Nothobranchius furzeri: one gene and its partners. The protein of the gene in region 3 interacts with the protein of the main gene of each other region in a biochemical or structural test. Links are inferred from orthologs where the notes say so. Each region holds a gene or a part of one and is shown on either strand. Other genes may lie near its edges. The genes, in order: cdc34b, uxt, fbxo7, pink1 and skp1.

Region 1 (5,998 bases), on a different chromosome or scaffold from region 3:
CAAAAAGAGAAACATCTGGCAAAGCGTATTAAAATTTAATTTACACTCTGCTTTAGTTCTTCGGGTCCATCAGGCGGCTCAGAGAGCAACGCTGAGGAGAAATACAATTCTAATCAATAATTAGTTCTGCCCCTCTAACCTTCAACAACTTGATTATTACACAACTTTAATAACAAGTTCATTCAAAAAAACACAACCCCACACTGAGTGACAGAAAAACACATCCAAGATAAAAACCCAGCAGAGATCAATTTCATGTTTTAGTAAGAATGTTCATATGAGGAGCTGACTCAGCAGACTCCAGCAGACGGGACGGCCCTCCATTGCCACGAGTCTCTCATGACGTTGGGAAACAGTCCACCAATTTAAAAAATAAAAATAAAAAGACAAAAAGCTTTCAAAGAAGTTCTGGCATGCATGAGAACTTTGAACATACTGTCCATGAAAACTCCTCCATGTCCTGCCAATCAAAGACAGAAACTGTAAAATATGGGACACTTGCAGTCCTTTGTCCATCTTGAAGTCTGTAAAAGTTTCCACCACGAGGCGGACAACCAGTGAGACACCCCCAGTTACAATTAGAGAAATACAGCTATGCAAAACAGGTGAAGTGATGGTTTAAGAGTTTGCACCAGTTCAGTGATCATGAAACCCAACCAAAAATATTTCATACTAAAACCAGGACTGGATTTTGTGAGCAAAGTAAGCTTCAGTGTGATGAAAAGTTCTCGAAGTTGGAAAAAAAAATTGGTGGCTGTGCTGGTGCAAAAGTGACCACAGTCTGACCCTCTCGCAACGAGGCATCAGTTTTAACCTCTGAGGCTGAAGGAAAAAAGCTCTTGTACTGATTTAGAAGGAAGCTTCCAATCTCTCTTGGTTGCAAACCAAGAATATCTGGCAACCCAGGAAGAGTTAAAGGATGAGCATTCGTCAGCTAGGTTGGGTTTTCTGACAACAAGAATGTCACGACTCCTCATTGCCCGAGTCATCCTCGTCATAGCAACAGTCGCCGTCTCCCCCCTCCACGTCATCGTCTTCATAGTAATAGTCATAGAAGAGGTCAGAGCCTTCGTCTGGCGGCGGGGCGCGTGTACGAACGCAGTATTCAGCTAGCGTGGTGGGCACCTTCACGCCATCTCGCTCTGCTTCTGCCTTTGTGGCCAGCACCTGTTTCCTGAAGGGATTTGTTTTATGAAGACTGAATTACTTTTGTGTGGATGGTGTGGCTTTGAAAATCTTTTAGAAATATTTGAGGTTTGTCTTAAATAACATTACACTAATGTTTACCTGATGATCTCTACATATTCCCGGTCCTTGCCTTTGCTGTCTCTCCATTTCCGGTACATGACAGAGGCGTCCACGTTGGCAGGGGAGAAGGTGTTGGGTTCATTTAGCAGCGAGATCACGCTCAGCAAAATGGTCCTAGAAGCAAAAAACAAAGGCAACTTAGTATAGAACCATAAGAAAACGACTTTAGGTGAATTAAAAAGTTTTAAACACATAAAAAATATTTTAATGTCACAAGCCTAAATTACTTATTTCATCTACTATTTTATTAGAATAAACAATGAAGCACATATTACATTAGGAACTTAAAGCTAATTGATAAAACATGTATTAAAAAAACCTGTCAGACCCATGTGCTACCACCCTACCAGAATCAGAATCAGAATAGGTTTATTGCCATTTTCAGTGAACAAACAATTCACAAACTAGGAACTTGCTTCGGCACTAATGTGCTACATATAACATGAATAATAAGATTAAAAATAGAATAAAATAGAATAAAATATAATAATTAAAAAAACTAGAATAAAACTTTCAGCTAAAATGGCAGGTAATGGTAACATGGCCGATAACGTGACGTTGTGTCGAGTACAGAAGACCAGCATGGTTGTGTGTTTATAATCTATTCACAAGTCTAACGGCAGATGGAAAGAAGCTGTTCTTATGGCAGGAGGTTCTGGTCCGGATGGACCGTAACCTCCTGCCTGAGGGAAGCGGCTCAAAAAGTCTGTGACCCGGGTGCGAAGGGTCAGCTGTTATCCGGCCTGCACGCCCCCGAGTTCTGGAGACGTACAGGTCCTGGAGAGATGGAGGGCTGCAGCCAATCACCTTCTCAGCAGAGCGCACAATGCGCACTGACAAGCCTTTACATTACATTTATAAAACGTAGCATTGTGAGTAAGGTTTTAGTGAGTCGTTATGGGAAACAGAAAGAAGCTGCTTCTGTTTGTGGCCAAAGGAACAGCCTTTGTGACAGACTTCCTGATCTACAGATCTAATGTGTCTGCAGCAAAAATGCAAATGAGGAAATTAGGTTAGGTTAACGGTATACCACCTGCAACAACAAAAACATAAGAGCTGCACTGCATCAAGTGACCGAAACCACCAGAGCTTACATCTTTGTAACACTGCTGAAGTTGTGTGATTTCGACTACTACAGATCACAGGTTTAATATCACTTGTGAGTGTGACATCGTTGTGGTGGCTTTTACATAGATAGTTTCTTGTTGAATAGAAATCTGGCTCTCAGTTACAGAAAAAGATCAAAGATACATTTTTTTGTGCACAGATTGCATAATGTGAGCCTGACAAATAACCTCAGAAGGAAGTTTATAATAAATAAAGATGCATTTTCTCCCTCTTCTGCAGCAAAATGCTGTCAAACTCATGCGATACACTTATTGTGAGTCACAATGAATTAAGGTACTCAAAGTATGTTTTTCATAGAAATAAACCAACAAAATCTTAGTTTGCATAGTATGATATTATCCAAAGATCAATTTAATTTTGTTTGTAAATAAGAGGAAGATGCAGATCTAGCTTTACTGCTGGCTGCTGCAGCCGGTGAAGAAGATGCTGCTGATAATGAATGTCATAAGATAAGAGTCTGCGCTGGGTGAACCATTGAAGTGATTGCAAAGTGGACAAAGATGGAAGGAGACCAGAAAGGAGAAACGTATAGAGAGAATATGATTAGAAAGAGAAATGCTAACCGAACATTCTGGGTTGGATTCCATCTCTCTGATGGGAGCTCTCCGCTCTGCGGGTCATCCACTGGAGGGTGCAGTATAGAAATACACACATCTCCATTCTACAAGAGGGGAAACAAATACATTCCATCATCAGATGCATTCATTCAAATTAAATACACTGTTATGAGTACACACACGTCAATATTTAACCTCATAGATGTTGGGATGCCACATTTTGGTTAGGAAGCGGAAAGCAGGAGGGGAGTAAGGATAATCTGTAGGAAACTTGATCCTTGCCTAGGGGGGAAAATGGGGACATCTTGTTATTTTTTAAACTACGGTCATTTCTTATATGTCATCTGATTTTAATTACAACCTTACCTTGAAATATCCCCCTTCATAATGAGTGTTTGGTGGACCAAAAATGGCGACTTCCCAGTTGTATAAATCAGCCTCGTCCACCAGAGTGATTTTAAATCCCTCCACAGGCTCTTCCTGGAGGCTCTTCATTTCCAACATGAGAGCTTTCTGCGAACTAGCTACATGAGAAGGGTCGTGTTGCGCCATAATGATTTATGAAGCTTTCAGGATTATCTGGAGGCGACAGCTTTTGTTTACACGGCTAAGCTAGCCAAGCCAGCAAACAGCACAACTTCTCCTTTTTCGATGTTCGGAGGCAAAGAAAACAGGCCGACCGCGCGTAAAAGCAAAACAAAGACTGCGGTTGGTCTGTTCCCAAATTAAACGTTATTAATGTCAAAACTCAGTAATGTTATAAACGAGAAACACATTGTGTCTGAGAGGCTCAACAGCTTTGGCTGATTTACCTGGCAGAGCAGCAGCTGATATAAGCCTTAAATCTACTGTTAGCTAAGGAAAGCTAACAAGCTCCGTCTAATTGACCAGCTGGAGCGACGTAATTACCGCAAAAACACAAAATAACTACATAAAATGGCAATTTGAAAAGACAAACGCAAAAAGTCATGTGACACTACGCCAAACTATACCTCCAGTAACCATAATTGTTTAGCCCTCATAGAAAGCTGCGAAAGGAAATGTGTTGCTGAAAGAGTCCCCTGGTAAAAACAGGTAATGGCGCCCTGTTGTTGGCTGGGACTGGTAGTCTTTCATTCCGCGTTTGTTAGATTAAAAAAACGTGAAACCAAAATAACTGAAAACCCTGGTATAATATAATTCCTGTTCTTTTTATTTATGATGTTTTTATTTTTATTTTAAATGCCCAAAAAGAAAAATAAGTTTGTTTGTGCTTGCATTTTCCTGTTAAACTGTTTAAATACGGTAGCGGTTACTATGGACGAAATATCTATGACATCAATAATAGTATTTTATCACCGACATAACTAAATTGTAAGAAAAACAATCCTGCGTTCATTTGTGGCTAATTTGTAGTTTATTAAGTGGCTGTGACGTTTTAATCTGCGCCAGTGCTCAGGAAAGCCCATTTAGGCTAGCTTTTCTTTGCCTTACTAAATACATTTGGATTTTTTATAAAAGAAATCTGACACGTAATTTTTTCTGTCATAGCACACGTTAGAGTATGCGAACATTAAACATAGACATATGTTTTTATTAGTGCGATTGTAAACGTTATTATAATCAACAGTGTTTCGTCAATGCCTCCTATTTACGCGACAGACTGCATTTAGGGCCCCGAAAAGAAGAAAGTTCGTGATGGGTTCGAAAACACGGCGTAGGTCTCGTTCCAGGTCCATAAGTCGGGGCAGAGATCACCGAAACAAGTCCAGAGTAAACAGGTCGCGATCTCCAGATGAGAGGAGAGGTCGCAACAGGTCTCCGAGCCCGAAAAGGACCACACTGGGTCGAGGCAGATCCAGCAGCGAGGCTTCGAGCGATGGCTCTCGGGCCCGACCTCAACATAGGGGCCGATCAGGGTCCAGGAGTGAATCGGAGGGGGACAGATGTCGAAGAGCGCCGCGCCACAGCAGCAAATCAAAGGATCGTGCATCGAGGTAATTTTAACACAATATGTTACAGTACGATAAAAGGTTGTGTCTGTTAGTTAAGCTTCACTCGTCCAACTTGAGATTCACACATTAACTTGTTTTTGACTCACGCAGCGCAAAAAATGAAGAAAGTCGCCACAGTCAAAATATATTTTTGTTTGTGATCTATTATTCAGAATAGAGAGTCGCTTGAGATTGGCAGATTTTCATCATCTTTCCTCCAATAAGTCATATTTATAGGTGGTGGGTGGGTGTAACCCACAGGTGGTTATTGCGACAGGTGTTTTTAAACACTATATTTACAGTAAATGTCTGCATGTAACTGTTTAGAAGCAGGTTGAAACGAATTTTACTTTGATTAATTATAAAAACCGTTGTAATCCAATAGATCATTAAACACTCCTAGATTATATATAGAATAGGTGTTAAACACTGTAAAAGGCTTATAAAATGATCTCTTGATACTAGTCATAATTTATGCGTTTATATTCATTTAATTTTCACACTAAATTCTATTTTTGTCTCAGTCCTGATTCAGATAATTCCAAGATGAGAAGGAGAAGGAAAGAGATGGAGAAACGCAGCAGTAGATCCCACGAGAGAAGAAGGGGAAGGTCCCAGTCTGCCTCTGATTCAAGTGATGCAAGCAGAGAAAGAGAAAGGAGGAGGAGAAGAAACAGTCCAGTCAGAGACAGACAGATGAGGGAGCGGTGGAGAAGCAACAGCAGAGACAGAGAAAGGACAAAAGACAGGGACGAAAGCTGGACGAGAAGGAAGAGCAAGGAGAGGGAAAGGGGGAGGAGTAAGAGGAGCAGAGATAGGGCTGATGGGAACAGAGGGAGGCAAAGCCCCAGTTCTTCCGAGTCATCTGAGAGTTCAGGGTCAGATTGCGAGAGCCGAGCAATCAAAGAGAAAACTGAGAGGAAGAACAAGAGGGAGATGATGAAAGCACTGGAGACGCCAGAGGAGAAGAGAGCCAGAAGGTTGGCGAAGAAAGAAGCTAAGGAGAAAAAAAGGAGAGAAAAGATGGGGTGG
Region 2 (5,999 bases), on a different chromosome or scaffold from region 3:
CATCAGAATGATTCAAACGTGACTTTTAGGCTTTTATTTTGAAGAGAAATTGTTGCACACTGTTTTGGATTTCCAGGTTTTCTTTAAACTTGATGGAGTGCTGTTTCTGCGGTAACAGGATGGAGACGTCATCGCTGCAATATATGATGTCAATTATTGCTGCTGCCGAAGAGCCGCAGAGCAAGGTATTGAGCCTTTTCAAAATAAGACCACATCTCGTTGAAGGACGAAAATAAAACCCAGAAACGAGAAGGATGAAGCAGCATTCATGTGAGGCTCATCAGAGGAACATCTGGGCCACGTCTGCTCCTCACCCATCACATCACATCTGGGCAGAAGTTCAACCCAGGAAGGAATAAATGAATGGATAAATAAATTATTCAATTAAATAATCCCCCCTCAAACGAAACACCTCTAAAATAAATATTTATGAAGACCGTAAAAGAAGACATTTTATTATGAAAGGAATAGCATTATAATTTCAAGCGTTCAAATTATTTTATAACATGAAAGTAAATTAATAACAAGTGAAAAGTTTAGAAAATCAGACTTTTTAAAATTCCAAAACCAGGAAGATATGAACTCTATAAGCAAAGATGAAGCAAACTTGATGAATGTCAGACACATCATCACAAATAACATTAATAATAATAATATTAGTCATTGCTGCTGTTGTTGTGCAGGTAGAGGTACTTATCAGAATAAAAGGACTCATTCCCAGACGTGTTTCTGTGTTTCAGGGAAATAAAAGCTGGATTCTGGATCCGAGCAGCAAACTGAACACAAAAGATGCTCCTTTCTTTCTCTGATTCAGTTTCAAGAGTCTCTCAGCACCTCTATTCGGCAGCTCGTTGTCATGGAAACAGGCTCTGCGTCGTCGAGCTTCTGTGCGAGCAGCTGATATTCATCACACCGGATGAAGGTCGTGAAAGCTGACGAGCTCGTGCAGCTGACCACCCGTCAGCCTCACAGAGCTAACACGTGCTGGTCACGCATGACTCTTCGAGCACGTTCCCGTTCTTCCAACGCAACAAACCCGCTAAACGTCTCAGCGTTCCTCAGGAACATTCCGACAAATTCCTTTCAAAAGTTTATATTTGGTTTTGAGAGACAAATAAACCATAACACCGGGAAAAGATCTTAAAAATAACAAAAAAAGTTCACTTTAAATCTAAATCAGCTTGTTCAAAAAGACAAATAACACTTTTTAGGTCTAAAAATATTATTTATTATAAGAAGAATGTGTGAATGATTTTATTCATCAGGAAATGAAATGTTGGCAAATAAACAACCAACAACTTTTACCCATTTAAGCCTAAAATATATGATATTATTTTATTACAATAAATCCCAGAAAGAACTAAAGTAGAACTACATCCAATAAAAAATATACACAAAAACTAAAGTTTGACATAAATAAAACAAATCCAAACTAAAAACCTCATTATTAATAAAATATGAATGAAAAAATGAAAATACATGAACTTCAGTTTAGTATTTTAATCAGGAAAGACTCATGACTGCTGTGATGTTCTTCAAACATCTGAGGAGACCTTCGTCCTGCTGTCCACAAAGCTCCTCCCAGGAAGAGGAGTTTCCTCCTCCCCCGGAGGTCCAGCCCCAGCAGCACCTGCTGCCCAGAACCAGGAAAAGTCTAGAAGACGTCTCTTCTTTGGCTCTCGGGAAGGTCGGTGAGTCCCTGCAGCTCCCGCAAACCCTGAAGGCAGAGGAAGAAGATAGCAGCCAATCAGACACCTCATCTGGAGGATCAGGGTTCTCCGTGGTTCCACGATGAACACATCTGATTTTAGAGGAGAACGTCCCTCTCCATCAGCACCAACTCACCTCGACGCTACCGGACCGGCTCTACTTCAGATCTTACCGAGTCTCTGACTCGCTTTGACTTATAGAAGATCAAACACTCAGCAGAAAAACTCAAATCAAATATTAAAGAGCTTCAGATCATAGACATAATAACTGACCTCAAGGACCATGCGGATGTTGGCTTTTATTTTGGCGGCGTCTTTAGTGAGTTGCTCTGTGAAGCTGCAAAACAAGCGTTAGCATGGTTAGCATCTTTGGTTCCGAACATTGAGCTAACACAGCACTCGTTCAAACTCCCTCAACTTTATTTAGAACTAGATCTCAGCTCGACAAAAATGAGACGTGTGACAAAAAGTTTGTGTTGTCACGGCAACACAGAGCTCACACTGTCAGCTGACTCGTCTTCTTGGTGATGAACTGCAGAGCTTCATCGTGGGTCATTTCCACGAAGAACCCGAAACCGACCGCCACGAAGATCCTGGACGAGTCGTCTCTGTCCAAAGGAGGGGAACAACGGGTCAGAACCGGGACCAAACACAACCAAACTGCTCAGAACCAGAACCAAACATCTAAAAGAGGTTAAATGTCTGTGGAGGGAGGAGCTGGACACTCTAGAGAGACAGACACTCACACTTGAGCCTGAACATAGAAGCTGCAGCCCAGATCGACGTCTGTCTTCAGCTGCTGGGACTCCGCCTCCTGCAAGAACACGGAGTGACATAACCGCAACGTCATCATCATGATATAAACATATATAAATATATACACACACACAAAATTCTATCACAAACAAACAGGCGTTTCTGATTGACAGCACGAGGCCTAAAGAGCTCAGGTTACTGGTCTGTTGTTGGATCGGGCCTGAACAGAACTCCTGATCCAGAACACACAGCTCCGCTGGATTTTCATCAGCAGTTAAAAGGTTTCCAGAGATTAAAACATGGCGGATGTTAGCTGAAAATATTTCAAACAACTGAAAAAAATCCTAGAGGAGGCCCTATGATCCTCCCAGAGTGATGCCTCCCTCCTTAAAATCTCTCTCTCTCTCTCTCTCTCACACACACACACACACATACACACACACACACACACGCACGCACGCACACACACACACACACACACACACACACACTACCTGCAGACTCTGGATCGTGTTCTTCAGCTGCAGGTACTGGGAGATCTTCTCATAAACCTGGTCTCTCTGCTCCAACACCTTCCTGTCAAACAGAACACCTTCATCAGTGTGTGTGTGTGTGTGTGTGTGTGTGTGTGTGTGTGAGGTGTCAAAATAGAGTATTTGAAATGAGTTTGCAATCATTTTCTGACTGTTCTATTGGATAAGAACCACACCAGGGATCCGTGGTTCTCCAGGACCCACTCTCTGGTTCTCCTTCACTGGATCTTTTTGGTTGGTTCTGATTCCACAGACCAGAACATCATCCGACTCTGTGGACTCACCACCGCAGTTTGACTTTTGTTCTGGTCGCTCAGATGAAGCGTCAACTTCTCTAGCCGGATAGACCCCGCCCTCTGGGGGGCTGCCATGGTAACCAGGTACCAGTCACTGGTCATAGTGATTGTCACAAATGTGTTTAATACAACTTTATGATTTACGTTTAAAGAACTTAACCTGTACTATAATGATCGTGTCTGTAGAGACATAAACATCGCATCAAAACTTAACCGGAAACTGCTTAGATTCATCAGAACCCAGCACCAACTTTTATTTACCTGCTTCAAGCTAGAGCTACCAACCCTGCCCTAACTAAACCAGGATCTGTGAAACTACTCAGAATTCAAAACCAAACAGAGGAGCAGAGCTGAGAAACTAAATCAACTATACGAGTTAAATCGTACCGTAAATCTCTCTTCAGAACCTCGTTGATGAACGTTTCGTACTGCAGAACCTTCCGGTCCACGTTTTCAGCGACAGGTTCCTCCATGCAGCTTTTCAGATTAATAACAACAATAATAACTTCATGCGGATTAATTCAGTTCAGATGAATTTCTGCTCAATGTAAATTAACCGTTTCGGACACAAAAACGTGCCGTTAGCACAGCTAGCATGCCAAGCTAGCATGTAAATAATTCTTTACACCGGAACTAAATCATTGAGTGCCCCCAAATTTTCAAAATAAAGCATGTAGACATAAAACAGATAGATGCATTAGACGAAGACGCTCCAGACTGATTATATATATATATATATATATATATATATATATATATATATATATATATCAAGACTCAAGACAACTTTATTAGTCCCCGAGGGGCAATTCGAGACAGCATTGTGAAGCAGCCGGCACTAAAATCTCTAAATTCTAAAAACACATCCAAATTACACATTTGTAAAACCCATAAAACCTATATACACATTCATGTCATAACCCCATACATATATATTTATATATATATATATATATATATATATATAATTTATTTATTTAATTTTCACTTCTGACTGACATGTGAGTCTTTTCTAGCTGATTTGGATCTGTGTCGTGACTTCCGTTGTCACGTGACCGTAGCTAACGCAGCTCTTGTCTGAAACAAAACGTTTTCAAACGTTTCAGGCCCGAAAACCGGATCTCCTCGCCGCGCTTTCAGGCTTGAACGACTATCAGGAAACATTTCTGCTCGAATTGAAATTATTTCGACGGTTTCATTAAGCCATAGGAGCTAACTTAGCTTAGTGGTGACGTTACCATGGCAACACGAGTTAGCATCCTCTGTAAAATTCGGATCCAATTGAAATCGAGCTGATTTATGTATAATCTCAGAACCCGAATAAAACTTACGACCTTTATTTCAGTTATCGTTCCGTAATATTTCAGAAACGTTGGTGTTTTATTGAACTGAAACGCGCAAAATCGTAAACGGCGTCTTTTGTACACGGAGCTTTGTTTCCGGTCTGAATTCTGGCTCCTGTCGGTCAGCTGGAGGAGGTAAAAGAAGCTCTGGGAGGTGTTTTCTTTCTCAAAAAGAGGTCACCTATATCTTATTTAGTTTAATGTTACAGCTTGAAGTTTTAATGTGGAATCAGATGAAAAATTGGTCTTCCTGCAGAAATCAGCAGACCGGATCAGGTTCTTGTCCCAGACATGGAGCAGTACAGCATCCAGGGTCGGATCGGAGAAGGAGCTCACGGCATTGTGTTCAAGGCCAAACACATTGAGGTACCGATAGCAAAAGATCCAGCCTCTGGGTCTGGTTCCAGGTGCAGAGCAGTTCCTCCTCAGAATGTTCGTCTTGTGCCTTTTCTCTCAGACAGGAGAGACGGTGGCTCTGAAGAAAGTGGCTCTGAGGAGGCTGGAAGACGGCATCCCGAACCAGGCTCTGAGGGAGATCAAGGCCCTGCAGGAGATTGAGGACAACCAGTATGTGAGTGTCCCTCCAGCTGCTTCTGCCCAGTTCAGAGGACAGCGAGGTGTCAGACCTGATGCTACTGAAATGCCACAAACTGGTGTTCGTGATGGTGTCAGAACCACAGTCCTGAATCCACCTGATCTGCAGGCCATTCCTCACAAAGCTATTTGCCAAATTAACAGATTTCCATGATTTTACGTTCTCTATTCCTCCTTCTGAGGAGACGAGGAGGAGCATCACAGAGATCTGGGGGGCTGGTAAGTGCCTGGTTGCCCAGATCTGCTGTTGGTTTTAAGTCTGAGCAGAAATCTGGTTCCATTACAGCACCACACCTGGTGGACCCTCGGTGCTCAGCTTCAGCTGCTTTGATAAAAAAAACCTGCAGATGTTTTGTTGGGAATGATTCAATCTTCCTTTTGGGAACGTTGTCCTGAACTCTTCCAGGTTGTGAAGCTGAAGGACGTCTTTCCCCACGGGACGGGCTTTGTTCTGGTCTTTGACTTCATGCTGTCGGACCTCTCTGAGGTCATCAGGAACCACCAGCGACCTCTGACCCCGGCACAGGTCAAGGGGTACATGATGATGCTGCTAAAGGGCGTGGCCTTCCTGCATCGCAATAACATCATGCACCGGGTGAGTGCACTGCTCACACACACGCACACACACACACACACACACACACACACACACACACACACACACACACACACACACACACACACACACACACACACACACACACAGTCCACGGCCCATAAGGGTTTGTGATTCTGGTTCTGGTGTGTGTGTGTGTGTGTGTGTGTGTG
Region 3 (5,993 bases):
TTTAAAAAAGAAGGTAATTAGGGACAGGAAGTTGGCTCCCTGGTTTAACCTCATCTACGAGCCTTAAAACAAAACTCTAGGAAATTGGAGAGAACATGGCGCTCTACGCACCATGAGGACGCCTACCTATCCTGGAAAAATAGTCTTGTGCTTTATAAAAATAAGCTTCAACAAACTAGAACTGCTTATTTCTCAGCATTAATTGAGGAGAATAAGCATAATCCTAAATTTCTTTTCAGTACAGTTGCTAAACTTACACAGAATCATAGCTCTGAACCATCTATTCCCTTAGCCCTCAGCAGCAATGACTTCATGGGGTTTTTTACAAGTAAAATTAATTCTATTATAAACAAAATCTTAAGCATCCTCCCTAATGCGATTTCTTCTTCCTCAGTAAGTGAGGCAGCATCAGAGGTGACTGTAGAACCTCATCTGTGCTTGAACCGTTCTGATCCAGTTGAGCTTTCAGAGTTATCAAAAATATTAGCTTCATCTAAACCTTCAACTTGCATTTTGGATCCAATCCCAACCAAATTATTTAAAGAAGCATTTCCTTTGATTACATCTAGAATGGGGGCAGTAACCAATCTATCCTTAGTAAATGGGTATGTACCACAAGATTTTAAGGTTGCTGTAATCAAACCTTCACTTAAGAAGCCTTCTCTGGATCCAGATGACCCAATGAATTATAGACCAGTATCTAACCTTCCATTTTTATCCACAGTCCTGGAGAAAATAGTGGCCATCCAAGTATGTGAGCATTTAAACACTAATGCTCTGTTTGAGGAATTTCAGTCTGGTTTTAGAGAGTATCACAGCACTGAAACTGCATTAGTGAGAGTTACAAATGATATTCTCATGGCCTCAGATAAGAATCTTGTGTCTGTTCTAGTCTTGTTAGATCTCAGTGCTGCCTTTGACACAGTTGATCACAATGTTCTTTTAGAAAGACTTGAACATGTTGTAGGGATCAAAGGAACAGCGTTAGGCTGGTTTAAATCCTACCTGTCTGACAGATTTCATTTTGTAAATGTACATGACAAATCTTCTTCATACTCCAGGGTTACTTGTGGAGTACCACAGGGTTCAGTGCTTGGACCAATTCTTTTTACTATATATATGCTCCCAATTGGTAAAATCATTAGACAACATGGGATAAATCTCCACTGTTATGCTGACGATACCCAGTTATATTCATCCATTAACTCTGATGAACCTAATCGGTTGGGTAGATTACAGGCTTGTCTTGAGGACATACAAAATTGGATGACTCAAAACGTTTTGCTTTTAAATCAAGACAAGACGGAAGTTTTCATCTTTGGTCCTGAAATTCAGAAAAGGATTGCTTAGTCAATCACCTGACCTGAATGGCATTACATTAATCTCCGAGAACAAAGTAAGGAACCTTTGTGTTATCTTTGACCGGGACATGTCATTCAAATCCCACCTTAAGCAGGTTTGTAAGATTTCCTTTTTCCACCTTCGGAATATTGCTAAGATGAGAAGCATACTTTCCAGGAGTGATGCTGAAAAACTAGTTCCTGCATTTATTACATCAAGACTGGATTACTGTAATTCATTACTCTCAGGAAGTCCACAGAATGTAGTTAAAAGTCTTCAGCTTGTCCAAAATGCTGCAGCTGGAGTTCTGATGAGAATTAAAAAGAGAGATCATATCTCTCCTGTCTTAGCTTCCCTACATTGGCTACCTGTTAAATTCAGAATAGATTTTAAGATCCTTCTTCTCACATATAAAGCTCTTAATAATCAAGCTCCATCATACATCAGTGATCTGATTGTTCCATACGTTCCTAACCGAGCACTTCACTCTCAGACTGAAGGTCTACTGGTGGTTCCCAGAATATCTAAAATTATGATGGGAGGCAGATCTTTTAGTTATCAGGCTCCTCTCCTGTGGAACCAGCTCCCAGTCTTAGTCCGTGAGGCAGACACCTTGTCTACTTTTAAGAATAGGCTTAAAACATTTTTTATTTGATAGGGCCTATGGTTAAAATCTGATGTTAGCCTAAATAAGGACAAGTGGGGGAGTAGAGGGAGGTGGAGTGTACAGTCGGTAAAGACGGCTCTCCCTTGCCCTGCCTCCAATATGCCTCATTCTAAAAAGGCTAGGTTATCCAGAGTTATCTCTGTAGTTATGCTGCTATAGGCTTAGACTGCTGGAGGATACAATGACCACTTTCCACACTCACCTACTTTGTTCTACAATCTGCCCTTTAACTGTATTACTTCCTGCTATTTCAGCTGTTAACTTTATTTTCTCTCTAAGTGTTTTTCTCCCCAGAAGAAGCTACAATGATGTTCTGCTGAGCTGTGGTGGCCTCATGGAGGGGGCCATCGTCTAGCACACTGCTGCTAACCACTTAAACATTCTCCCTCTCCTGATAACTTTTTACTCTCTTTGATGTTGGATGTGCTACTACTAGTTTACCCGTTTAATTATAGATCCACTAGGATAAATACAATAAAGTTTATCTCTCACCAAATAGAATATTTACTAAGACATCACAATGTAACCACAGAATCAGAAACTTTTTTCTGATTGGCTTAATGAATTGACCTGTATTGGAATGGTTATTATGTGAAGTACCTTGAGACGACTCTTGTCGCGATTAGGCCCTATATAAATAAACTTGAATTTAATTAAATTAAAAGTTTAAATACATGAGGAGCTGGGACCTTGAGTGATTGGAAGACAAGAGGCAAGTGGGAGCAATTAACATGGACACAGAACTGAACGGAAACTGGGGAGACAAGACAAACTGTGACACATACATTGGTGATCTTAGTCCCTACACCCCCAGCATGTCCATGAGTTCCAGTGACCAAAGCCTACTGGTTGTGGAGCACCAGGCTAAAGACCAAAGGTGACAGATCATCTGCTGCTGTGGCCCCCAGACTCTGAACCTCTCTCCCCCTGAGCCTGAGATCAGTGGACTCAGTGGTCTCCTTTAAACTCACCCGTTAAGGCTTTGGTGGGACCTTCAACACCACCACCTTGTTCTTATTCTGCCTTTCCTGGAATCCACTGATTTCCCTCTTTCCTATAAAATTTCTCTCTCCCTTTCCATTATATATTTAATATAATGTTTACTTTTTTCTTTAATTTTAAACATATTTTTATTCTTTTTTTTTTACTTTTTAAATTTTATTAAATTTTTTTGTGAAGCTCCTCGTGATTTTTATGTTGAGAGGTGCTAAACTGTTCTGGGTCTTATTTTGAAAAGTCGAAGCGGAAATTACGTCTCTTCAGTTTCCGATGTTTCGTTTTCACTGATAGGAGAGAATTTCATGTTCTATTATAATGTGAGCTTTTCTCGGTTTACCTGTGAAGTTCTGGGACTTTCTGAAGATAACCCGCAGGTTTCACTAACTACCCGTCCAGGTTAGTTAGCTAGCTTGTCTCGTGCTACGCAGCAAATACGAAACGTTTGATATGAAAGGAAAACGAAATCGTCATTTTCCAGAAGCGATCGTTTATTTTACAGCACTGTCGTGCGTGCTTATTTCGTTATTATTATTGGAACCGTAATCTAACAGATTTTCATGACACTTCTTTGTTCGTAAGCTTTTTGGATAAACCTGTGAGTCTCTTACATGGTGGAGGTTGGAGTGTGACTAAAGGTGTGGACAGAAGTTGGTGCCATTCCCATGTAAACATTCTGTGCTTTAGGCGCATTTATTCATCTATAAGAACCGATTTTGGTTGGAATCCTGAATCTGAGGTTTAAAGTTCAGTTGCTATAAGTTGAACATGTTTTTTATGTAAGTAGAGGTCATGTGATCTTACGGAAGCCGGTGTGTTTTGTTTATTTCAGACAACATGAAGCTACGGGTCCGGATCAACAAGCAGACCAGCAGGGTGGACTTACCTGGAGAAGAACCCACTCTCACAGAACTCTCAGATGTCATCAAGCAGACACTGCTGACTTCTACTGGACTTGGGTCAGACTTCCGGATGGATCCATTTATTCTCTTTTTCTTGTCTCTTAACCAGCGTGTGTCCCAACGGCTCAATGCTCCGTTTTCTTCATCTCCTTTCAGTCTGAACACAGAATTCAGCTTGTCTCTGAACGGCTCTGAGCTTCTGTTGGACTCTGGTCAGACCCTGTCTTCCTTTGGGATCGTTTCTGGAGATCTGATCTGTGTGCTGCTCCGGCAGCCTCCAGCAGTCGCCGTGACCTCAGGGGAAACCAGCTCCACAGCCCCAATAACTGACGATCAGCAGACCGCCACTCAGGTGAGCTCACAGTGACGCAAAAGTGGGTACGCAGTGTATGCGACACATGGGGCGCCAAAGCAATGATGCAAGAACATTTTAGTCTGACGTTCCTCTGTTTAATAACAGCCGTGTTCTTGTCCATTTGTGTATCTGCTAATTATATCATTAATAAGAGAGAAGCACATCAGTGATTAGGCGCCCCTCCGCTTGTTAACCCCCCACACCAAAACAGCGCTCTGCCACCACACCACTACACTCTGGGGTTGGAGTAGATGGTTTTATACACGAGCCACAGAAGTTGTGCGTTTATTTATTTAAACGTTGTAGAAGCTAGTCGCACTAATGGAGCCCAGCTCTGGTGTCACAATGAGAGCTAACGTGAGCAGCTCCTGTCTAACGGGGACGGCGGGTGGAACCAGGCCCCAACTGGGGAAATTCCCGATGGCCCGGTTGAGTTCAGTGTTGTTGTTTTTTGGGCTGGTGTCACTCTAGATCACCTGCTGCTGATGAGAGGAGCTCTCCTGTCAGGCACTGGTGAGCTGCTGCCAACCCAAACCCAACCAGCTTCTGCTCCTAGGAACACGTTCTAGCTCAGACTGTAGTGACCTGTTATTTATAGTTTATAATTAATGTTAGGTATATTCCACAGCTGATGGAAAATGAGATTAAATAACCTGAACATGTTCTCCCACAGCTCAGCTCTGTTAGAAATGAGCAGATGTCTGCTTCAGCTGGACTACATCAAGTAGAAAAGTGTCCACAGATAACTGATCTTTAAACTTTAATATTGATTTTATTTCATTTCTAAGGTCTGGATGTCTGTGAACTAGGGCTGGGGGTAAACGATTATTTTTAAAACGATTATTCTGACGATTATTTTATCGAATAGTCGACTATTCTAATGATTATTTAGACGATTAATCTAACGATTATTTTTCTATTGCACAATTACTAAAAACCAGAAAATCTCAAATAAATTCCTCAAAAAACTTGATAAATGGTTACTGTAAGAGAATAAACACTACAGGCCTTCCATCTTGTATAACACTGCTTTTATTGTGTTGGTTGGTTATGTTCTGGTGACATGTAGAACGTGGGAGTGCAGGCTGCTGCCTGAGAGGTGGTAGAAGATGGAGTGTCTTCATGCTGCTTTGTTTTGGTCACTTATGAGTGTGAGGCGAGTGGTGTTACGACCCTTCCTGGGGAGTTTGGCTCGTGTGCAAAAATGAAGGGACAATAACGGGATTTAAAAGTTAAAATGATGATCGGGTTTATTTACAACAACAATAAAACAAATCTTTCCATCCACATGTTGGGAATAATAAAACTAATTCTGTCTGTGGGGAATTAAAACGAAAGTACAAATAACTAGGGATGTCCCACTGGGCAAAGATTACTGGGTTCTGGACCAAAATAAGGATCTCCAAAGGTCCAAACTCTAAACTGGGCGGTTAAACCAAACTCAAGGTGATATTTTAAACTAAACCAAAAACCCACAACACTCTAAATGTAATAAAAGGGAGATCTGCACCTCAAAAAAGATGAACTCTAAACCAAAACGTAACAGCTTATCCAAAGGGCAAGAAGCTGTTAGCGAAGATGCTAACAGTAGCTTTACCAATGTTAAGTTCAAGTTACCAAGTTTAAATAAACCAAAAACACCCAGCAGCAAACAGACCAGCACGCAGGAGAGACTGCTACCACCAAAACAGCTCTCCTAATGTCTGAAAGAAGCTCCTTAATGAAGGGAGAA
Region 4 (5,555 bases), on a different chromosome or scaffold from region 3:
CCCAGCTGCAGGCAGAGATCCCTGATGGTACTGCAGCTCCTGGAGGGGGTGGATCATCTGTGCCAGCAGGGCGTCGCCCATCGGGATCTCAAGTCAGACAACGTGCTGCTGGAGTTTGACTCGGGTCGGATTTAAAAACACGAAGCTTCCATTAGACGCCATGTTTCTATCTGTTGCACTAAAATGATTTTGTTTGGGTTTTATTCTTCTAGGTGGTTGTCCTCGTTTAGTGATTACTGACTTTGGCTGCTGTTTGGCTCAGAGTGGCTCCAGCCTACAGCTTCCCTTCAGCAGCCTGTGTGTCAGCAGAGGAGGAAACATCTCGCTCATGGCTCCTGAGGTACGCTTCACCTCTTCTTTATCAGGATCAGAGCCAGCTTTAGCTGTTTAGTTCCTAAGGTCAGATCAGCAAACAGAAAAATGTCTCCAACTTTACTGGTTTGATTATATTGAGCTGAGAATTACTCACAAAACTTACTGGCTCAAGGGCTTGGGATCTGTTGGAAAAGTTCTTGATTAACGTGGAAACACGTGAAATTAGTATGAGTAGAAAACAGCACAGGCTAGTTAGGAATTAAGATTTTAATTGAAACGATGCTTATTTTCTTTAAACTTTAGTTTTCATTAAAGGGACTTTACGGCGTTTTGAATTTTTATGCTCGCGATTGCCCCCTCAGGCCAAAAGCATAACGGCAGCTTCAATAGTAGGCTCGTGCACGCATGCTGTACGTGCACACTCCTTAATGAAAATAACAGCTGAGACAGTCCCGTGTGTGTGTGTGTGTGTGTGTGTGTGTAGCCGGGAGGACAGGAGAACGCACAGCTAATTAATTAAATAATTTGGTTCTGTACCTTTCTCTTCAGCACAGCCGACAAAGGTTTATGATGGGTCAGTCCTCCTGCATGCTCAGATCATTCCCTTCCCTTGCTTGAAAAATTGTTCCAAAATGAAAGTTGAACCCACATCTTTTTTATCTGTGAATTCAATGCCGTTCGCCAAGTCTCAAATAAAAATTTGGGCATCTTACTGTAAAAAAATATACCATTAATGTAAAAAATAAACTATGATCACACCCAGAATCGAACCCAGGTCTTCGGCACGAGAGTCCGACGTCTTACTAGGTGAGCTAAAATGCCAATGACATCCTTTGTATCTGTAACTTTTATATCCTTGATGACAGCTGAAACAACGTTCAAAGAACGGTTCGGAGCGAAAATGGCTATTTTGTTGCTAATTTGCAGGAAATATCTAGAAGGAAGTAGCTAAGGGTGCTCAGAAATGTAGCTAGCTTTGTCACTAGGCGTTAGGAACAGCGACAAAGTGGCACTGCCTCTCTCTCTGCTGCTAAAGCTACGGATAGCAAATGCTACGGGCGATGCCTGAGCGTGAACACGCATGAAGCAGCCTGCTCGACCCGAGCATCTCTCTTTTTCTGTGATTTTACAGAAAAACAGGCAATCACAGTAAAAATGCCAGGGCTCATTCTACAGGACCAGGGCATTGCAGGAGAAAGTATGAAGAAGACATTTATTATTTCTATACATGTTATGGCTGTCACACTTCCATAATGCCCCTTTAAAAACATAAAACACCTTCAGCGACACTTCCAGCCTGGCCGACTCCAGGTGTACCTGCAGGCGTCTAACGAACAAATCAGACCCGCCGAACCGTGTGGACCACCTTGAACACAACACCAAACACTCCGGCTGTTCCTGGATTTCTCTGAGGCGGTGTGTCTTTACCTGCTGTGATGGGTTATTTGTCTCATCAGGTGGTCACCGCAGTCCCAGGAAGCGGTGTGGTGATTGACTACAGCAAGGCGGACGCCTGGGCCGTTGGGGCGATCTCCTATGAGATACTTGGAGAGCAGAACCCGTTCTATCAGGCTGGGGGACTGCGTAGCACCGACTACCAGGAGAAACAGCTTCCTCTGTTTCCTTCCAGAAGTCCAGCTGATGTGCAGTTGGTGATACAATTACTTCTCAGGAGAAACCCAGAGCGGGTAAAGCAGGATAGGTCCAGTTATAAACTGATCTCTTACACTTGGAAGCGTTTGTTTTTAATTGATGATTAGCTCTGTTTGCCTCTGTTCTTCCTCCTCAGCGGCCCAGTGCACGTGTAGCGGCTAACATGCTACATCTCAGCCTCTGGGGTCGGAAGGTTTTGGCCAGTCAGGACAGTGCTGGCACGAAGAAACTCGTTGACTGGTTGCTGTGCCAGTCTGCGGTGGTTCTCCTGAAGGGCTGTGCTGGACCCAGTGGGAATGGGGTGGAGGCGGAGCTTCAGAGAAGCTTTCTGTCCAATCTGGACCTGGTGGAGCTGCGCACCGCAATGGGCTTCCTCCTCTATGGTTGGGAGCAGCGCCGCGGCTGCTCTCTGTCAGCGTAGATCCGGTCCAAACCGTAACTCGGACCCTCAAAAAGAAACGCTGGTAGTTAAACTATGGGTGGATACCTGCTGTGTTTTTGTTGTGCTTGATTTAACATTTAGCTGCTGTATGAATGAGCAGTAGCTTAACGCTCATGCGAAAGGCCGGATTTCAGCGTCAGCTAGCTCGAAAACCTTTTATAGCACACAGAAATTTTACACGTTTACTGAAAATGACAGCTCCAGGTCTTCCTGGATTTTTTTGTATGGGATCAAATTTATTATTGAAAGTCAGAGAACGGGGTTCTGGATTTGTTCAGCCTGGTTTCACGTGAGTGAGTGAGTGAGGGAGTGAGTGAGTGAGTGAGTGAGTGAGTGAGTGAGTGAGTGAGGGAGGGAGGGAGGGAGCGAGCGAGCGAGCGGACTGCTCCCTCTCCATCATAGTTTGTATCCTCACAATGACTGTTTTCCAGCCAGATGGAGCAACATCTCACGCTAACTGGAACACAACATCATGCAGAAGGTGTGGGTGTATGCGTGAGTGATGACCCATGTGAGAAAGTCTGTGAAGGTCTAACAGAAGACGTCACCAAGGAGGAACTTTATACAAAGGACAGCTGGGAGGGAATGATTTTAGAGATCCAGAGTTCTACTGGGTCTAAATGTGCGAGAGCCGTCTGCAGGGACACCCAAGTCCAACTGGCCACTTGTTCAAGGGAAATCTGGTCAGAGGAAGTCTGGAACAAACCTTTAGAGGCTAAATTTAATCCCACACAAAGATGAGTAACATCTGTATTCAAAAGTACAAAAAACATAAATTTATATCAAAGGCTTTTGGAAGTAACTGATGTTCCAAAACGGGTCAATTCTTCCCTTTTGCTTTAGTTTTTGAATAAAAATTTCAGTACCTAATCTTTAAAAATCTAATTTATCACTGAGATGTTTGTTAATTTAAAAAAAAAAACTAAAAATTCTGTAATGAGAGTAGAAATGGCTGCTGGTGGTTAAGAGTAGATCCTGTCTCCTGAAAGCTCTCATGCACATTTGTAGACACAGGTCTGTCACAGTGTGGAAGTGACCAATGCAGATATTTAAAATTAAAACCATGTTACACTTGTGAGGATCTACTGGGTAGGGTGAGGTCAGCTACCTGCAGGTGCAACATCTGAAACCCTCTCCAAAGAGCTGGTTTTAGGAGGTTTCTGCGTAACGTGTGTTCGGCATGCTTAACAAAGATGAAGTCATGGTAAAACATCCATAGATCATTAGTACCATGCACAGGGGCGGATCTATAAGGGTGGCATAGGGTGGCAGTTGCCACCCTAAAAGAAAGCCTTGCTACCGCTGCTGCCACCCCAGCTGGTAGCTATAAATTCAAGAAAAATCAACGTTTTTCAACTGTCTGGCTCATAAAGACCTATTTGCAGTCTCCTTTGACAGAGAAAAGACTATGAAGCTAGGCTGTACTCAGCATTGAATCAAAACGGGCAAAATCTTTGGACCTTGATGAATGTGTAAATTGTTTTGCTGAGCAACATGGAAACTGCCGCATTCAGCTGTTGTAGGAAGGACATAATTTTATTATGTGTTTTATTTTCATGATGGGCCTTTAAGCTTATTAAATGAGGACCCAAAACAAATGAATATGCAAATCCTGGGAAAATAAAAAGGAAAACGTCTCTCTCTCTCTCTCTCTCTCTCTCTCTCTCTCTCTCTCTCTCTCTCTCTCTCTCTCTCTCTCTCTCTCTCTCTCTCTATCTCTATCTCTATCTATCTATCTATCTATCTATCTATCTATCTATGTGTGTGTGTATATATATATGAATGGCCACCCTAGAAAAATGTTTGCCCCTCTTCTGCCACCCCATAAATAATTTTGTAGATCCGCCCCTGACCATGCATAATAATGCACTCCGTTTTCCTGTTTGCATTTTTCTAGAATTGTATTCAAGAATAGTTGGTGTTTTAAATGTGTTATAAATGAAAAGCAACCATTTCACCGTCGCTAGAAAGACAGATTCATTTACTGCACTATATGGTTATTTTCAGCTGTACGTCAGTAGTTTGGGATGCAAATCCATGTTGTAATTATAGTTTGGTACATTGAAGATTGTTGGAAATATTTTTGGACATGTAGAAAGGTTGAATTTCAGAATAAAATCATTTCAAACGCAATTATCTCCAATTATGGTTAATGTTTGATTTCAGTGCACCCTTCAGCTTTTTGTTACCTTTGCAATGAATTTGACTGAATTTTGAGTTTTGGTTGGTGATGATGTTTTTGTTGGTTTGTGTGTCAAAATATCTTATGGAGGACTGGATGGATTTTAATGCAACAGTCAGAAATCAATTATTGCTGATTGGCATTTCAAATGAAGCCAATTCAAGATGGCCACCACAGCTGCATAATATTAGAAAACACAAAAATGACTAACCCAATCATTTTGATAGTAGCTGAGTCATTCAGTGTGAGGTCACACTATGAATACGTGTCATAAGTAGTGCAAGGTCGTCAATCTTTCAGTGCCTGGGCAGATTTTCTATTGAGTCTTTGCTGGTATTTAGTTTAAAATGAAGCAGTTTCTTTAAAACAGCTAACATTACACTCTTAAAGTGACAACGTGTATTTTCCCTGGCGATAAGTGGCAATACATACCTAAGTCATCACAAGCAAGCTGTAGTTTTGTGTTTGAGTAAGACCTTATCAACAGATGGCCATTAGGGTCAAAAATCTCTGTGAGTGCAGCCTCCAGCAAAATAAGCACATCAGACTCCCTTTCATCACTGGCAGTGAGTGATGAGGTAATGTGTAAAGCAATAACATTTATGAATGGTAAAAGTTTTGTAACTGTTCGTTACAAATCATTAAATGTATATTGTCCTCTACGGGCTCCCGTAGAAGGAAACACAGCATCTAATATGGTGTCACCCAGAGACTTAGGCCTAGTCCACACGTAGCCGGGTTTTTTAAACGAATATCCGCCCCTCCAAAAACTTGCATCCACACCACCTCGTTTAAAAAAAAAACTGTCCACACGTACCCGGATAAATTCGTTGTTAAGGACATGCCAGACCTGTAGGCGGCAGTACTTCCCCCGTTCTTAACCTCGTCCTTCGTCTGTGGTCTTCCGCAAGGAGCAGTAATTCCTCTTGCAAAAACAAACAAGCAAAAAGCGCTTGGACAATT
Region 5 (5,156 bases), on a different chromosome or scaffold from region 3:
ATCCCAGTTGTTCCACCGTAGGAGATCTGCAGGTTCCAGCTCCACCACACCGTCACTGTAAATGAATAATTTTTAATGATCTGCTGTTCTTTCGCTCAACAGTTGCTGCTTACTTCATGACAATCAGCTGTTTTGCAAACACAAAATGATTAAAAACTGACACGAATCTCTCTTACGTCTCGGCCGTGATGCATCACTAATGCTAACCAAACCACTAAATCATGCGAGAACAACAACATCCCAGCAGAACCGCAGATTTTTAGAGAAATTTGTTTTTATTTTTGCTGCCAATGTCACAAAAAGTTCAATTAAGAGAATAAACCACTTGTTTTCAGGCACTTTTAGGATTTTAATCTCCAGCTTCAACCTTTTTTGTTTTTGTTGTTTTGTTTTTCCTATTTTTGTCGATGACTTGTGAAATTTTTAGTCGGATGTTTGTTTCTCCTTTGACCATTCCACACATTCTGCAAACTCATCTGAGACCAAATGGGTACTATAATATTATGTGTTGTAAAGTTTTATATTATAAATAAAATTTTGTATGTTTTTTATGAAAAAAATGGTAAATTACTTTTTAAAAAGTTTTTTTTTTCTAAAAATGTGTTTTTTTGTTTTTGTTTTTTTGGAGTCAAGTGTTACTGCAGCAGCATTCAAACTATATCTGTGCATGCCTAAACTTTGTTACATTTCTGAGGGTTTTATATAAAAGGCTTTAATTTACTGTCTGCTTGCAGCTTCCCAACTGTGGATAAAATGTATGCTGAGTTGTTGTCTTCCTCCAGCAGAGGGTGCCCTTATAATACAAATCTGTGCTTTTCTATTCGGGGCATTCAGGTTTGAGGCACACACACACCTCTAAGATGTCTTTGTATCTTTGAACTCCTGGTGTGTTGTTTTTGTTTGATGTAATAAAAGTGTTTGGAATATCTCTGAAGACTGCAAACTTAAAATTTTAAGGATGATTTCAAAGTAAATTTAAAGAAAAAGAGCCAAAGAAACAAGAAAATGTAACACATGCTCTCTGAACAGGTTTTATTTACTCCTTCAATGTGGATTTCCTCAAAGTTTCCAGTGTCAAAACATGAATCTGGAACTCGCTCTGCATGATGGACATCGTTCCGCCTTCAAACTGCTCATTTTTATACACAAGTTCACAAAACCGATACATTTACAGAGCAAAAACAATTCACCCTCCTGTTTCCATCGGCAAAAAAGTGAAGGTTGTTTAATTATCTAAAAGAAAACATTGCCATAGAAAAAAGAACAAGGATACGAAAAATGTAGCTTTTTATGTTTTAGAGGGAAATACAAAGCCATGAAACCATGAATATAATTATATTCATGAGTGGAAACGGTAACAAGCGTTTCAGCTTTAAATTAATGACACCATACAGGTCAGAATTAAATGTTCATGCTTTTATTGGTACACAGAAATAATAAGCTGGGGGATGGTAATTATACTAAAATATTAACAAGTATGAACATCGCCAGTGCAACCAGTTACAGATCGTTTCAGTGTGGTAGTGTTGGCAGCATCTTCCCTTTTACTTTTCTTCACACCACTGGTTCTCTTTGCGTACCTGTGGACAAAAAGCAGTTTAAAAGCTTTGTTTTCCTTGAGCATCACTTTTGAGGACTTTTTTTTTTTTTACCTGGGCTTCCTCCTCCTCCGTGAAATCGTTTTTGATGTTGAACGTCTTCCTGATCTCCTCTGGGGTTTTGCCTTTGATCATATTGGCCACCGTCTTGCAAGTGACGTCTAACAGGCCTTTGATGTCCAAATAGTTGGCGGCCTGAACAGAAAATAAATGACATTCGGATGTGGAAGATGCTGTGAGATGGCACAAATGCCTCTGATGAATAAGTAACTTTAATGTCTAATATAGGAACTATGAATAAAAGTTTTACATCAGTAAAGCTGGGCCAGTTAGCGTTAGCATGTTAAATACAGAACTATTACAGGGTAACTGCAGGTTTAAGGGAGTCAAATTTAAGACTTTTTAAGACCTTTTTAAGGCCACTTTGACCAAATTTAAGCTATATTTTAAAATTCAATTTCTGCTATAATTTCCAGCTATTGCCTGGAACCGGTGCTAACCACATCGCGAACGTGGGATTAGCCATCCAATTACCATTAAACTTGCACTTCTCCATGGCGTAAGCTCCCACTAGCTTAATCAGCTAATGTGCTCATCTAAAACTAGCCCCCTTTCACAACCAACTGAATGTGTACGGTTCCGCTTACGCCAACATTGTACACAAAAAATGCTGAACACTAACTGGAAATTCACGAAAATGTCATAGAAATGAAATAATCTAGTTTATTGGGTCTTTGGTAATTTAAGACCTTTGGAAACTGTATTTAAGGATCATTTGTCATTTTTAAGGATTTTCAAGGCCTTAAATTTGGAAAAGTAAATGTAAGACTTTTTAAGGACCTGCGGATACCCTGCATTATCCAAATCTGCTTCCACTTCATTAACAAGGAACTTTTTATACAACTTAAAATCAGCATCTGTCTCTTTTACTAGATGTTGCTAAGCAACATTTGTGTTTTTGGTGATCAAATCAGACCACAAAAAAGACAGAATTAGGGATGTCCCGATACGACACCGATTTCAATACGATACCAGCACAAATCATACTTTTACCTATTCCGTAGTGTGGAATGTATGAAAGGCTTGATGAAGTGATATTACTCAATCGGAGAACAAGAGCCAATAACAGTAAGTATGAAAAAAAATTTGACCCTTTTTTTAAACCACTGGTCGCAAAAATGTGAACCTTAACAAACTGCTTATATTGGAGATTTATGATGCAGTCCGATATAATCCAATAGTGTTTTTGGGCCGATAATGAATTGCTTCTGATATCGGAATGGGACATCCCTAGACAGAATACTAGTGATGCACCGATATCATATATCGGCGATATGAAATTTTTTGTGCCGATACCGATATTGGTCGATATCGATATACTGGCATTAATGCTTCTAAAATCAGCAGATTTTGTATAGAATGAAAATTATAAATTATTAAAGCTGGATTTACATTATTATGTACACACACCACACACATTTATGGTTCTGAAATGATTTCATTCACTGTTCACAAGACTAAATTACACATCACCCTCTGAAACAGGCAAACAAATGGGGACAAGATGGAAAAATATCGGTTGTTAATATTGGCCTGGTTTTCTTTATTGAACAGATATGTTAAAAAATAGCTAACATCAGCCGATACCGTTATATTGTCCATCCCTACAGAATACCCAATTACACAAAACTTGACAAAAAAAATTTTTTTTAAAATAATCATCAAACGAGGACGTTTGAAGTAACGGGTGTAAATAAAGATCTGGATCGGAGTTAAGAGAAAACAAGCACTTATATCGTTTGAAGAACATATTCATGGGGCTTTGGGACATTCTGACGTGTTTCTGTGTAACACATCAGTTTTTATCTTACTTCTTGTAGACAGCTTCCTGAAGAGCCTCAGTTTGAAGAAAGTGTTTACGTTTTAACTAATGATGTGCTAAAGCTAATCCAAACACAAGTGGATCGCTAACGTCTCCAAGCTCCTCTTATAAACTACATTTCAAATCAGTTCACATGAATAATTATAGCTGTACAATACAAAATAAGTTGCCTTTTTAAACACTTATTTTATTTATAGTAATGTTTACAGTGAGCGCATTTTAGGCTGAGTGTTATGGAGAGCTGCGGCGAAGAGGTCGGCTGCCAATCAGAATTTGTAGCAGAACTATAAACTATGTGTAATATTTGCAAAAACAACAACTTTTCTGGTTTTGCCTGACCCAAACTTCTAATAATGACCTAAAAACAGAGAGGACATTTTTTCCAGTTGATTCAACCTCAAGAGTTAAGAATTCTGCTGAGGGGTGAAAATCTGTTTAAGGGGTGCGGGAAAAGCATCAATTTCAATGTAGCTAACGCATTTAGCAGCAAAATAAGAATAATGTTTAATGAAACATATTTACCAGAATGAGTTCAAACAAGGTGCCTTGGTCCACTTTGAGGAACTCCTGGTCCCAGACGGGAATGTCGTCCGTCCTTTTCTCTTTGTTCTCATCATCCTCGGGAGGAGGAGGATCATCTTTGTGATGAGTGCACCACTGAATCACCTAAAGGGGAAAACATGTTTATTCTTAACTGAAACTACATAATTTTATACATTCGTGTTAAGATTTACGCAGACAGAAACATGTGCACAACATTCCCCCGTGATGAAGGAATTTTGAGATCTTCTGCTGAGGTGCATCTACACGTACAGTTTTACCTTTATCTGGATTAAAGGAGCGTGTCAGTTGATTTGGCAGGACAGAACATAACAAAGACAGACTGAGCATCCTCTTAATAAGTTATATAGGGCTGCCATGATTAGTCGACTCGTCACAACATCAACAAACAAAATACTCGACTACTAATTTAATAGTGGATGCATTATTTATTCTGTGACCATTAATTTTAATCTCGCCTGCTGCGGCACATTCGGCGGTTGCTTCCTGACTTTCTGCTCAATGCACATGCGCATTAGTCCCCATCCGGGTCAGTGGCTGTTTTCAGCTCCGAGGCGCATTCGCAGTAGTGGCCATCCAGATCAGCCTTCGTCACCGGAGAAAGAAGACATAGCGAGTCGGCAACATAGCTCAAAAGTTTTGGAGTATTATACATAGACTAAGGAAAGCACATAGTGCAAACTCTGCAAAGGGAAACTCTCCTTTCACGGGAGCACATCGGCGATGCATGAGCACCTTACAAGGAAGCACGTCATGGCAGAGAATAAAGAGTCGCCTCTCTAAGTTTACCTCTTTAGCTGCTAGCATCAACAGAGAGTTACTTGTAGTTATAGGTGTAGCAACAGCAGTAGCGGTGGCTATTTTTATTACCATTAGATCACGTTTGTATGTCACGTATTTTTGCTCCAATTACAAACGATAATGATTTCATCCCGCTACGCTACAGTGTTAATAAAAATGCTCCTCTTCAATGGACGAGTTGGTTACGTGAACACCTCAGCAAGCTAACGTCCTGACCATGTTGGTCATGAGACTCCTGTCCATGGTCGGTGATCGAGGTTTCAAAAAGATGATCAAGGATACCACGACAACTACCTACCAGGCTGATGCCCATT

What was found.
Region 1: the proteins of fbxo7 (region 3) and cdc34b form a complex in vitro, tested with the Homo sapiens proteins (2 studies listed by BioGRID, with this or other methods). The link is inferred for Nothobranchius furzeri from reciprocal best matches to the Homo sapiens genes FBXO7 and CDC34.
Region 2: of the proteins of fbxo7 (region 3) and uxt, one has a biochemical effect on the other in vitro, tested with the Homo sapiens proteins (2 studies listed by BioGRID). The link is inferred for Nothobranchius furzeri from reciprocal best matches to the Homo sapiens genes FBXO7 and UXT.
Region 4: the proteins of fbxo7 (region 3) and pink1 form a complex in vitro, tested with the Homo sapiens proteins (2 studies listed by BioGRID, with this or other methods). The link is inferred for Nothobranchius furzeri from reciprocal best matches to the Homo sapiens genes FBXO7 and PINK1.
Region 5: the proteins of fbxo7 (region 3) and skp1 form a complex in vitro, tested with the Homo sapiens proteins (3 studies listed by BioGRID). The link is inferred for Nothobranchius furzeri from reciprocal best matches to the Homo sapiens genes FBXO7 and SKP1.

The regions. Positions count from the first base shown.
Region 1 is NC_091751.1:57,907,384-57,913,381, reverse strand, and holds the start of cdc34b (cell division cycle 34 homolog (S. cerevisiae) b), read right to left. Parts: upstream 3,546-5,998; coding exon 3,360-3,545; intron 3,276-3,359; coding exon 3,189-3,275; intron 3,098-3,188; coding exon 3,000-3,097; intron 1,423-2,999; coding exon 1,288-1,422; intron 1,175-1,287; coding exon 964-1,174; 3' UTR 1-963. Other genes in the region: splicing factor Cactin, read left to right, coding at 4,671-4,969, 5,491-5,998. UniProt on the Homo sapiens protein: E2 ubiquitin-conjugating enzyme that accepts ubiquitin from an E1 ubiquitin-activating protein, and catalyzes its covalent attachment to other proteins by an E3 ubiquitin-protein ligase complex. In vitro catalyzes 'Lys-48'-linked polyubiquitination.
Region 2 is NC_091755.1:47,134,077-47,140,075, reverse strand, and holds uxt (protein UXT), read right to left. Parts: upstream 3,946-5,999; 5' UTR 3,768-3,945; coding exon 3,682-3,767; intron 3,379-3,681; exon of another isoform or gene 3,356-3,378; intron 3,042-3,355; coding exon 2,960-3,041; intron 2,524-2,959; coding exon 2,456-2,523; intron 2,318-2,455; coding exon 2,210-2,317; intron 2,047-2,209; coding exon 1,983-2,046; intron 1,718-1,982; coding exon 1,655-1,717; 3' UTR 1,486-1,654; downstream 1-1,485. Other genes in the region: cdk20 (cyclin-dependent kinase 20), read left to right, coding at 4,929-5,003, 5,095-5,208, 5,638-5,826. UniProt on the Homo sapiens protein: Involved in gene transcription regulation. Acts in concert with the corepressor URI1 to regulate androgen receptor AR-mediated transcription. Together with URI1, associates with chromatin to the NKX3-1 promoter region.
Region 3 is NC_091741.1:31,395,585-31,401,577, reverse strand, and holds the start of fbxo7 (F-box only protein 7), read left to right. Parts: upstream 1-2,192; 5' UTR 2,193-3,309; coding exon 3,310-3,403; intron 3,404-3,441; exon of another isoform or gene 3,442-3,642; intron 3,643-3,836; coding exon 3,837-3,963; intron 3,964-4,062; coding exon 4,063-4,258; intron 4,259-5,993. UniProt on the Homo sapiens protein: Substrate recognition component of a SCF (SKP1-CUL1-F-box protein) E3 ubiquitin-protein ligase complex which mediates the ubiquitination and subsequent proteasomal degradation of target proteins and plays a role in several biological processes such as cell cycle, cell proliferation, or maintenance of chromosome stability.
Region 4 is NC_091755.1:38,775,105-38,780,659, reverse strand, and holds the end of pink1 (serine/threonine-protein kinase PINK1, mitochondrial), read left to right. Parts: coding exon 1-124; intron 125-212; coding exon 213-340; intron 341-1,772; coding exon 1,773-2,003; intron 2,004-2,104; coding exon 2,105-2,389; 3' UTR 2,390-4,543; downstream 4,544-5,555. UniProt on the Homo sapiens protein: Serine/threonine-protein kinase which acts as a sensor of mitochondrial damage and protects against mitochondrial dysfunction during cellular stress.
Region 5 is NC_091750.1:60,005,436-60,010,591, forward strand, and holds the end of skp1 (S-phase kinase-associated protein 1), read right to left. Parts: intron 4,147-5,156; coding exon 4,003-4,146; intron 1,794-4,002; coding exon 1,653-1,793; intron 1,581-1,652; coding exon 1,545-1,580; 3' UTR 1,018-1,544; downstream 1-1,017. UniProt on the Homo sapiens protein: Essential component of the SCF (SKP1-CUL1-F-box protein) ubiquitin ligase complex, which mediates the ubiquitination of proteins involved in cell cycle progression, signal transduction and transcription.